3 linked regions of the Schizosaccharomyces pombe genome follow. The main gene of each other region encodes a partner of the protein of the gene in region 3 in a complex. Each region holds a gene or a part of one and is shown on either strand. Other genes may lie near its edges. The genes, in order: clr4, raf1 and cul4.

Region 1 (3,758 bases), on a different chromosome or scaffold from region 3:
GTTATAAACAAAAGAAAGTATATAGCGTATGTTGGCGGAAATCTTATAAAATTATATAAAAATACATGTGTTATTTATAAAATACGATATCAGTTAAAAATAAAAACTAATTCGCATGTAAATAATAACGAAAACCCCTGTTTTCTGCGTATATATATATATTTTTTTTTTCAATTGAAAGACTATCAAATACATGTCAAGATTTTTCTTCTAATAACTTGGAGAAGGAATCTTGTTGAAAAGATACTATTTATTTTGAACGGGTTAACTCTCATTTGTTTGATATCTATGGACTTTGCTCATGCACATCGTACAAAGCCGTTTATATGGTAATGCTTTAACTAAACGAAATTAATCTCTTTTTTCCAAAGATGCTAAAGAACTTTTATTTATTTTCACATTCGTTCGGCAAGTAGGTAATTTCCGTCATAATTCTATAAGAGGCGAATATGCAATTGTTAATATATTTACATCTTGTCCTTTCACACTTCAAATAATAAATAATAAAGCAAGATTAAAAGCAAGAAATACAATTGAAAAATCGTAAATATATACAGAGATTTTGTCTTCGGTATGGCCTATTCCACATTGAAAATTTCGCAACCCGGTATGGTGGCTACAATATTAGTTACATTCAAAGTGTATTTGTTGAATCTTTTGTGCACAGTATATGGATCTGAAATTTCATTCTCATTCACTAGAGGCATCATTGGTAATATTGAATCCCTGGCATGTTATATTGGGCTTTGTTTTTTTGTTTATGGTATGAAGGGATAGGATTAAAGGCTTCGTTCAAAAAATATATCTAATGTACAGTAGGTATTCTGCAATCAAATTTTGAGTTTGTAGTCTGGTGAATTTATCGCACCATCTAATTGAGATCGACAATTATCAAGGGAGCTTTCACATAGAGTATTAAGAAGCACTAGAGATATGGGTCAAAGCATGTATGGTTTTTTGTTTTCTTTATTCATTTTTTCAAAGTTTAAATTTAAATGGAACTTTTTAAGGCATGTTGGCACCACCGATTTGCAATTCAAAATTGAACCAAATTAGCAACATTTTGGATTGGCTACTGTTAATCAACCTTTAGAGCCTGCAGAAAATTTATCCAGAAATGGAGTACATGACTTCTCCATTGTCATTCAAAATTAACAAGCGAAAAAACCAAATACCAACATGTGCTTCTAGAATGGGTTATGGGTTATCGCGTTCTGAAAGTTGGCTGGAGACTCAATCTTTTTTAATTGACCTTGTTTATCTAATGAGCTCAAGTTTAACCATTATTAAAAAATGAATGCTCGAATGCAAAGGTATTTGGTTCCTTACTTTATTAATTTTGCGAGAAGCTTGTTTATAGGCATTCTTTGTACCGAAATCAAAACCCGATAGTCAAATATAATAGTTTTTAATCATTATAAAAATGGCGATGCGACTAATTGTGTAAAAAGTTTTTCTATGGACAATCTTACTGTTGTTTCATTTCTTTTATTATTATAGAGCAATTGAACATACTATTGTTTTTTAAAAACGCTCAACTTTCTTATTTAGACACAGATGGGTTAGACTCCGTGCTGCACACTGATACAAAGTCAGCTACGCAGTTTGGTATCTGCTTTAACGATAACATAGAACTGCGGTAATTTTTCCTTGTTAACGTATTACAATACACAGGTATTACAAGTAGCAATTGAGTATAGGTATTAAATTATCTAGATTGCATTGTGACCTATAACTAATATAGCTTATAACTGAAGTTCATTCCTCAGTTCAGTTGCAGCTCAATTTATAATCTTTTTAGTCTTCATTAGCCAGCGTCTATGTAAATATGAAAATGGTTTTGCGCATTTATCAATAAACTGCTCTAAAGTAATATCCTAACATATGACATATAGTGATACGTTACGTGTTCTTCATTAGAGCAGTGTGTTGTTAACACCGTATTTCCTTTACGGGGCGATTCTCCGTTTCTTTAAATTTTGACTTCTGTAAAGGAGTGCGATTCAACAACCTGGTCGAAATACAAACTGTTATAACATGAATTGGCATTGCTAGTTTGGATTGTTGTTTGAAAGTTGATTTGTATATTATAACTTTAAAATTACTTTGTACTTGATACCTTTTTCAAATTTCAGAGCTTCAATTTTGCTCTGAAATTGAACACATCGACTTTATATATTTATTGCTCATTACTAAAAAACATTCAGTTTTATATTCTGAGTTCGCGGTCGTCTATTATTTTAGTCCTTTAGCAATTGTCATATTAACATAAACCCTCTCCTTATTTTATTTTTTAAATTCGTTCAGGCATCATTTGGAGGGTTTGCTAAAAATCATCTCACCAAACAAGAGGTTATTAGTTTTGCGAATGTCGCCTAAACAAGAGGAGTATGAAGTTGAAAGGATTGTGGACGAAAAATTGGATCGTAATGGAGCTGTCAAACTATATCGCATTCGATGGTTGAACTATTCATCTAGAAGTGATACTTGGGAGCCCCCTGAGAACCTTTCTGGATGTTCTGCCGTTTTAGCAGAATGGAAAAGGCGGAAGAGGAGACTAAAGGGAAGTAACTCCGACTCGGATTCACCGCACCATGCGAGCAATCCACATCCAAACAGTAGACAAAAGCACCAACATCAAACTTCAAAGTCAGTGCCTCGTTCTCAAAGATTTTCGCGGGAATTGAATGTAAAAAAGGAAAATAAAAAGGTTTTTTCTTCTCAAACTACCAAGAGACAATCTCGAAAACAATCCACCGCTCTGACGACGAATGATACTAGTATCATTTTAGACGATAGTCTTCATACAAATTCAAAGAAGCTGGGGAAGACGAGAAATGAAGTGAAGGAGGAATCTCAAAAAAGAGAACTAGTTTCCAATTCTATTAAAGAAGCTACATCCCCCAAAACATCTTCAATTCTCACAAAACCGCGAAACCCTTCCAAACTTGACTCTTATACCCATCTAAGTTTTTACGAAAAGAGAGAGCTATTTCGTAAGAAACTGCGGGAAATTGAAGGACCCGAAGTAACGCTTGTCAATGAAGTTGACGATGAACCCTGTCCATCTTTAGATTTTCAATTCATTAGCCAGTACCGCTTAACACAAGGTGTTATCCCGCCTGATCCAAATTTTCAATCTGGATGCAATTGCTCGTCCCTTGGCGGTTGTGACCTTAACAATCCTTCTCGTTGTGAGTGTTTAGATGATTTGGATGAGCCAACTCATTTTGCCTATGATGCACAGGGGCGGGTCCGTGCAGATACGGGTGCCGTTATATATGAATGCAACTCTTTTTGTTCTTGTTCAATGGAGTGTCCTAATCGCGTTGTTCAACGTGGTAGAACTCTTCCGCTTGAAATATTTAAAACAAAAGAAAAAGGATGGGGTGTACGTTCGCTTCGATTTGCCCCTGCTGGCACGTTTATCACTTGCTATTTAGGAGAAGTCATAACTTCAGCAGAGGCCGCCAAGCGTGACAAAAATTATGACGACGACGGTATTACCTATTTATTTGATTTAGACATGTTTGATGATGCTAGCGAGTATACAGTGGATGCTCAGAACTATGGAGATGTCTCTCGTTTTTTTAACCACTCCTGTTCACCTAATATAGCTATTTATTCTGCTGTTCGGAACCATGGATTTCGAACCATTTATGATCTCGCTTTTTTTGCCATCAAAGACATTCAGCCTCTAGAGGAGCTTACATTTGATTACGCTGGTGCAAAAGATTTCTCACCTGTTCAATCTCAAA
Region 2 (3,758 bases), on a different chromosome or scaffold from region 3:
TGCCATTGTGCCATATTTATACCTGCATCGACTTCCTCTTCATTAGCCCCGTCAAAATGTATCATTTTGGTTTTTCCATGCTTAAGCAAGCTAAGAGGTTTATCTGGTTTACGCGAATCCCAAACAAACGTCTGGTTATCTGTACCACTAGAAGTTACCAAGATTCCAGAGTTACTTATGGTGGCATGGTTAATGTCTTTTTGCGTTGTCGTAAAGTTGAGACAAACCTTATACATTCTTGTGTCTAAATAATATACTCTTCCATTGCTCAAAGTATTGCTACTTGCGACAAATCCAACTTGAGAAGGATGCATATATAAGGAGGTAAATGCTTCGTCAGCGGTGTTGAATTTTTGAACGAAGCTGGCAGTGGAAGCATCAAACAGAGCCAAACATCCTCTGTTATTAGAAGTATGAAAACTATCATATCCAATAATGACTTTGTCAGATGACCTTCCCAAAAAATTGGAAAATTCAATCAAAGATGCAGAGTACCCTTTTTCTAGAGCTTCTGGATAAATTAAATTAGCTGATGTGAGAATTTCTCCTGTTGAGTTGTCAGTGCTCAATAAATACCCATAACCATTTTTGCAAGCTACTGCAAGTAAATCGTCATCAGATAGAGCAAGCTTGTGAATATAGTCTGTGGGTGCATTAAAAATCCCACATAAATTTCCTTCCATATCCCAGACTTTCACAGCATTGTCGAATGCACCTGTATAAAGAAACAGATTACCCTTGGAAAAACACAAATCTGATATCGTAGAGTATTCCTTTTCTCCTACTTGATTAAGTTTATAATGGCTTTCCAATGACTGAATAGTTTCTGAGTGAAAATCACCAATCCATAAGTTGCCTAGTCTATTGTAAGCACCATCTTGTGCTGTGCTGCCTAAGGCAAATTTTTCGCACAATGGATTATATGCAACGCACACTGTATCCCCACTAGTTTCATTGAAATGTTTCCAAGGTTTTAAAAAGAAAACTGATTCCCCGTCCATAAGTTGATGAACTTGTTCTCTTTGGAAGTAAGATGAGCCTGCATTGTAAAAGGATTTTAAGTAATCTGGAAGTAATTTTTTATTCTTCTTGTATGTTCGTAAAATGATGGCCCCATGTTTGTCCACAGGAGACAAGCTGGGGTTATCAATTTCAAATTTCTGGCAATCTTCATATGCTCGTCCAGGAAGTTTTGGAGAAATGTGGGTCGAATAAGCATCATTGAACTGAACACTGTTTACCGGTCCAAATTTTAGTTTAGCTTCTTGTAAAATAAAGCATTCCTCTGGTGTAAAATCAACATGAATGAGTGATGGTTTATCATCGCCTGTAATGCTATTTGAAAGTAAATGAGTGTGTTTTCTCACTCTTTCACTCAAATAAGGACGTGAATTAGGTAAGAATGTCCCAGACGTTAGTAAAAGTTGCAATTCTAATCGTTTATTTACATTTGATGGAACTTTTGCAATTGAATGCTTCGATATTGATAATGACGGTTTCGGGCAAGGTAGCTCTGCGCGATAAAAAGGATCATAAATCTCAAATTCTTCCTCAAAAAATTCTTCGTTATTTGTGTCAAAGTCAACCTTGGGCAATTTAGAAGAGACGGAATGCAAATATTGCGTATCCGTTCTTCTTTTCACCCGTGGTGAACTATTAGTCATGCCATAAATAGGAAATTGTTTGAGAAATTATTGGGCTTTTTACTTTTAATCCTTCAGTGTGCAAGTTCACTAGTTTAACAGAAGTTATGGGTTGCTGAGTGAGTTTAAGGCACTGATTGATATAAAGAATTTACTAAGTCCAAAAAGTATAAAGACATTCCAAAATCGAAAATATTATATTAAAATTGAAGATATAATGATTATCTATTGAGTTACTATTATTACAAATTTATCAGTCAAAGGTAAGTTAATGACTTTACATTGAAGCGATAAAATCTTAACTATGTTTAATTTGTTTTAAAAAACTTTAACCGTTCTATTGACAACTCAATAATAAATTATATCCATTAATAGGAATCCCCAAAAAAATAAATAAACTTCCAAAACGCATATACTGACTTAGGGAATTACGGTCCAAAAAACTAGGATAACAAAAAAAATGCAAAGGGAGATATGGCAGGTATATAAAAAGGAAACGGCCAAAATTTGGGCTAATTTTAAAAAAACAAAATTCTAATTTGAGAACAAGAATTGCATATCCTCGACAGAAAGCTGGTTCAAAGCCTTTTCGTCTTGATCTATGGTTGCATGTATCATCTGAGCTTTCTTTTCTTGTAGTTCAATAATTTTGCTTTCAATGGAATTTTCAATACACAGGGTAATTACTTTTATCGGCCTTTTTTGTCCAATACGATGAATTCGATCCATTGCCTGCCACTGTACAGCTCCATTCCACCAAGGATCCATCATAAACACTTGAGATGCCTCTGTAAGGTTCAAAGCAACACCACCTGCTTTCAACGAAACTAGAAAAATGGTAATATTAATATCGTTACTGAAAGCCTCAATAGTAGCTGCTCTCGCTTTGGGGGTCATACCACCATCTAGCTTTACACAATTAAACCCGGCTTTTCGAAGTCGCCAATGAATGAGATCTAACATAGAAGTAAATTGAGAGAAAACAATCGACTTCAGTGTTCGGTCCTTCTTACGAAGTAAGTAAAGCTCCTCAACTAATGCTTCAATTTTTGTAGATGAACGCCAACTATTCATATCAATTCTATTCAAAATCGATGCATTCTTAAACTTCTCTTCAGAAAAATCTTCTAAAGCAGGGGCACTAAGATCTATGCTTAAGGGAATGAAACAACTTGGACAGTTGACATTTTCTCCATCACCAGCTGCATTGATATATTCCGTAACGCAGAGTCGACAAAATGTGTGATGGCAACGTGATTCTATAGCATCTTGAGCGACTTCGTCACAAATCTTACAGACGATATTTTCCTGATTTTCAATATCAACTGTTTTTCGTTTGCTAGCTAACACCAGGTCAGGATGATCTGCCATTTGGCGCATTCGTGTAATTAGCTGGAAAATGTTTGCATAATTATTCAAAACGACACCTTCAGCAAGATATGTATTAAATTTTCTTTTTGAATCCATATATAAAGATTGGTATACATCTTCCTCTTCTTCGTTGAATAAATCTTTCCTCACTTCAACGACTCGAGGAGGTAATCCAAGGTCATCAGCCCTCTCTAATTTTGTTCGACGTAACATAATGTGTTTTAATAAAGAATGCACCTTTTTAAAAGCTAGCTTTCCTGGACCTTCGTATCCAAACTTTTGTATTGGTTTTAGCATTTCAGCGTTAAAATAGCAAGTATGACTCATTGGTTTATGGCCGCATTCGTCGCAATTACTTCTATCGGAAAATCTCCAGTGCAGAGATTTACATTCACATTGCAAGCAATAGTAGTAAGCAAAAGGATCTGCCCGTAGGAACCGAAGAAGTGAAAATAATTCTCCAATACGGTTTTGCAAAGGTGTTCCTGAAAGACATATCTTTCTTGTCGTTCTTAAGCCACAAACAGCTCTGGCAGTGTTACAAGTCCTTGATTTGATACCATGGGCCTCATCAAGTATAATTCGGTAAAACTCCATTTGATGAAGTAATGACTTTTCTTTTACAACACCGTTTTTCCTTCTGAATCCGCTGCGTTCCTTCCTGTAAACTGATTCAATTACATTGTAACTCGTTAGTACAACATCATAGCTCGAAAGCTCTTCTCCTGAAATATCACGAGCCTG
Region 3 (3,758 bases):
ATGCAATGTCCTAGCGAAGCGTACCAACTGATTTTTTTCCCAACCTGCTTTGAAAGGTAAAATTTTTCAAAACAATCCAAATCCTGTTGCATATCATCTGGAAGCCGGATATGTGATTCTGGATAAGAGGGCCAGTAAGCTTGGGACAAGACGTTAACATACAAATCTCTATGAAGGTTATGAGCAGCCTTTGAGTGACGAAAAGAAGAAGTAAATTCTTTTGAAATGTTAACGTCTCGAAACATACCCTCCAAAGAGTGAGTAAACTGACTACCGCAGGTTTTCTTAAGCATATCCAGAAGCATTAATTCATTTTGCGCACTTGCAGATTTATTAAGGAGAAGCCGTTTTGCAATGTCCAGCTTGTAATACGCCTCAAAGATATCTTTACTAGCGATGTAGCGGAAAAGATCCAAAATTTCCGAAAATACTTCTTTCAGAGGCTTACCCCCTGAAGCCTGTTCGCCAACTCGTAGCAAATAATCAATGTATTTTGCAATAAGCCTAGCTGGAGCTTCTCTTTGAGATCCCTTTGCCCCATTAATGAACGTCTCGAAGGCTTTTCGCATGGCATACGAAAGGGTTTCATCATGAAGGAAACTTTCATCCACCACGACTTGTAAGAATTTGTGGAACGATAACAGCTCTTGAACCAAAGTATCATCCTTTGATTCATCGTTAACGAGCTTGAAACCAACGTCCACTAAGCAATCCGACCAGGGCTGAATTAAATATTCGGTTTCATGATTGAATTGCAGTAATGCATACAGTAGTTTACAAGAATGGGCATCCCTTTTTTCAATGAACTGACTTATACCCTTTGTGAGTGTGTCAAGATGTGAAGTAATTAGACACCTTTGAACAGTCTCTCGAATGGACTTTTTATCGCGCACAATATCAAACTTTTCAACGTAGGCATCCTCCCGCTCAAGCGAACTCATCGCATATTCCAAGTACTCTTCCAAAGGCAGCTCTTGAATTTTTTGGCTAGACTCCGTATCATAAAAACGGCTTAGCATAACTAAGTACATGGGAACAAACACAGAGCTATACATTTCCGTGCGATGTAGCATTAACATCGCATCCTGTAAATAGGCGTGATCAGTGCTTTTAGAGCTATGTAAATTTTCAAAGCTTTGGAGAAGAGAGTTCAAAAAGGGAATTTGTATGTTTTTGACTGCCATCAACTTTTCACGAAAAAGTGACAGAGACAGCTCTTCGATTGTCGGGTAATCTGGATGGTGAGAAAGAAATGTTTTGTCCATGTAATAGAATATGTTTTGAACAATCTCGACTCTTTCCAACCATTTGTTCCAACACCCTACTACTACGGTGCATGCATTAGTGTCTGTTTCAGTCCCTTCAAGCTGTATAAAAGACTCCGCAGAATCCTTTAAAAGCTGGATTCCTGAAGACATATGATGTTGTAGGATGTTAAAGCACCGAGATGCTTGATCCGCTCTTGTTAAATTTTCGACTCCCGAATATAACTCTTGGTAACCTGTTTTTAAGCCTAAACCGGCCATCACTACTTGCAAAGCCATGTTCAAACGATCTATCATCGTCACATAGTAGGTCTCTTGTCTTTGCCTCGACTTTCGTGGGTCAAAGCCTTTAACCACGATACGTTTTGCTTCTGGAGGCATAGGTGTGCTAATGTGAAATAAAAAGTAATAAATAGATGTGTGGAAAGCCTGAGCTCTTTCACTACTATAGTTTCACCTGCAAAAACCAATTTTGTGCTCAAGTAGTGACGTTCAGAAAAGTCGGTTTAGAGCAGCACATATAGACAAGGTACGAAGTTCCTATTTCACTTTCAAGCTATTTTTTTGTGTCCATCTCACTAAATAAGCCTTTTTTTTCACTTTAGAAATTCTTCAGTTTTTTAGAGATTTTCAAGCTGCGACTCATTGCAATTAGCTAACTATTGTTTTCCATGTTTATCCTCCACTATCCACAACGAACGCCAGTTGTTGAAACAATTGGGTGCTTGAGTAAACTATTAGCTTCTCTATAGTTTCTATAAAGTTTTTTATTTGTCTTTTTGTTTATATAGGTTTGAAATTACAAGGTCAGGTTGACTTGGAAAGAGAATGGCATGGAGTCAAGTCGAGATTTCCAAACCACATCTAGCATATGCTATTATAGGAGGATTTACTTCATTATTTATGTTATGTTCTTTAATTATTAAGGAAAAGCTTTTTTTGGGCGAAGCAAGTAAGTTATTAGTGGTTGCAAAGCACAATTGTTTGATTTGCGTGTTGAAACGATACTTGAATTGTTTGATTTAGCTGGTAGTAATTCCAGATTATTCTTTCGGTTTACGTTCGTTAAATAAAGAGCGATCTCTAGATATTTCAGTGTGCATATTCCACCATATTATTTTTACTCTTCAATTCTTCATATATGTGAAGCATACTAACTTAATATAGCTATGGCAACTGCTACGGGTCTCATTTTTGGTCCTTACGTTGCAAAACTGTTTGTTCCCACCAGCTGGGGTAATACCGACTACATCACCGAGGAACTTGCTCGAGTCCTTTTAGTTGTCGAAGTTTTTGCAGCTGGCGCTGAACTTCCAAGAGCATATATGCTTCGACATTGGCGCAGTATGTTTGTTATGCTTTTGCCTGTTATGATTTTTGGATGGCTAGTAAGTACTGGCTTCATGTATGCTTTAATTCCCAGACTCTCTTTTCTGGAGTCATTAGCTATAGCGGCATGTATTACTGCGACAGATCCAGTGTTGGCTTCTTCTATTGTCGGTAAAGGTAAATTTGCACGTCGAGTCCCAGGTCATCTTAGGAACATGCTTTTGGCCGAATCTGGATGTAATGATGGCATGGCAATTCCTTTTCTGTATTTAGCTATTTATTTAATTATTGAGAAACCTGCCCGACATGCTGGCCGCGATTGGGTATGTATCATTATTTTATACGAATGCACCTTTGGCTGTGTGCTAGGTGCAATAATAGGTGTAATAGCCCGTAAGATGATTAAATTTTCGGAACGTCGAGGATTAATGGATCGTGAAAGTTTTCTTGTATTCTACTTCGTTTTAGCACTATTTTGTGGTGGTATTGGTACCATCATTGGTGTCGATGATTTGTTAGTTTCTTTTTGTGCTGGTGCTGCTTTCTCTTGGGACTCATGGTTTTCGAAAAAAACAGAAGAATCTCATGTTTCCAACGTTATCGACCTTCTTCTCAATCTTTCCTTTTTTGTATACGTGGGTGCTATCATGCCCTGGCCTCAATTTCACATGCCACATATGGATTTGAGTGTATGGCGACTCGTTGTATTGGCTATATGTATTTTAATTGCAAGGAGAATTCCTGCCGTTTTATTATTTAAATCATTTGTTCCTGATATTATCAATTGGCGAGAAGCTCTCTTTGCTGGTCATTTTGGTCCTATTGGTGTAGGTGCACTGTATACTTGTTTGGTTGCACGAGCCGAATTAGAAGTACATAGCACTGTACCTGAGCCTAATGATGCTATCGAAAACCCTGAAATTCCAAACTGGTATTGCATACAAGTAATGTGGCCAGTAGTTTGTTTCCTGGTTCTAAGTTCTATCATTGTTCATGGAAGCAGTATTGCATTTTTCATGCTTGGTAAAAGGATTAATACGTTGGCTTTGTCGTTTACGAGAACAAGGGACTCTCATTTTGCTTTTAACTTACCTCGTGTTCGTCAAGGACAAAGCTTACCAATTAAAAGAGTTGATGCGTTGCGCTCCTCTGCCAACTCTATTG

What was found.
Region 1: cul4 (region 3) and clr4 share a complex: the UniProt entries of both Schizosaccharomyces pombe proteins name them as parts of the clr4 methyltransferase complex.
Region 2: cul4 (region 3) and raf1 share a complex: the UniProt entries of both Schizosaccharomyces pombe proteins name them as parts of the clr4 methyltransferase complex.

What each region holds. Positions count from the first base shown.
Region 1 is NC_003423.3:456,658-460,415, reverse strand, and holds the start of clr4 (histone lysine H3-K9 methyltransferase (Suv39) Clr4), read left to right. Parts: upstream 1-2,005; 5' UTR 2,006-2,368; coding exon 2,369-3,758. UniProt on the Schizosaccharomyces pombe protein: Histone methyltransferase which contributes to the establishment of heterochromatin by specifically methylating histone H3 to form H3K9me. Part of the Clr4 methyltransferase complex (ClrC).
Region 2 is NC_003421.2:100,508-104,265, forward strand, and holds the start of raf1 (CLRC ubiquitin ligase complex WD repeat subunit Raf1/Dos1), read right to left. Parts: upstream 1,758-3,758; 5' UTR 1,665-1,757; coding exon 1-1,664. Other genes in the region: rhp16 (ATP-dependent helicase), read right to left, coding at 2,178-3,758. UniProt on the Schizosaccharomyces pombe protein: Component of the Clr4 methyltransferase complex (ClrC) which contributes to the establishment of heterochromatin by specifically methylating histone H3 to form H3K9me.
Region 3 is NC_003424.3:3,450,944-3,454,701, reverse strand, and holds the start of cul4 (CLRC complex subunit, cullin 4), read right to left. Parts: upstream 1,758-3,758; 5' UTR 1,647-1,757; coding exon 1-1,646. UniProt on the Schizosaccharomyces pombe protein: Required, indirectly, for activation of ribonucleotide reductase through the degradation of the protein spd1, thereby supplying deoxyribonucleotides for DNA replication and repair. Also has a role as a scaffold for assembling ubiquitin ligases.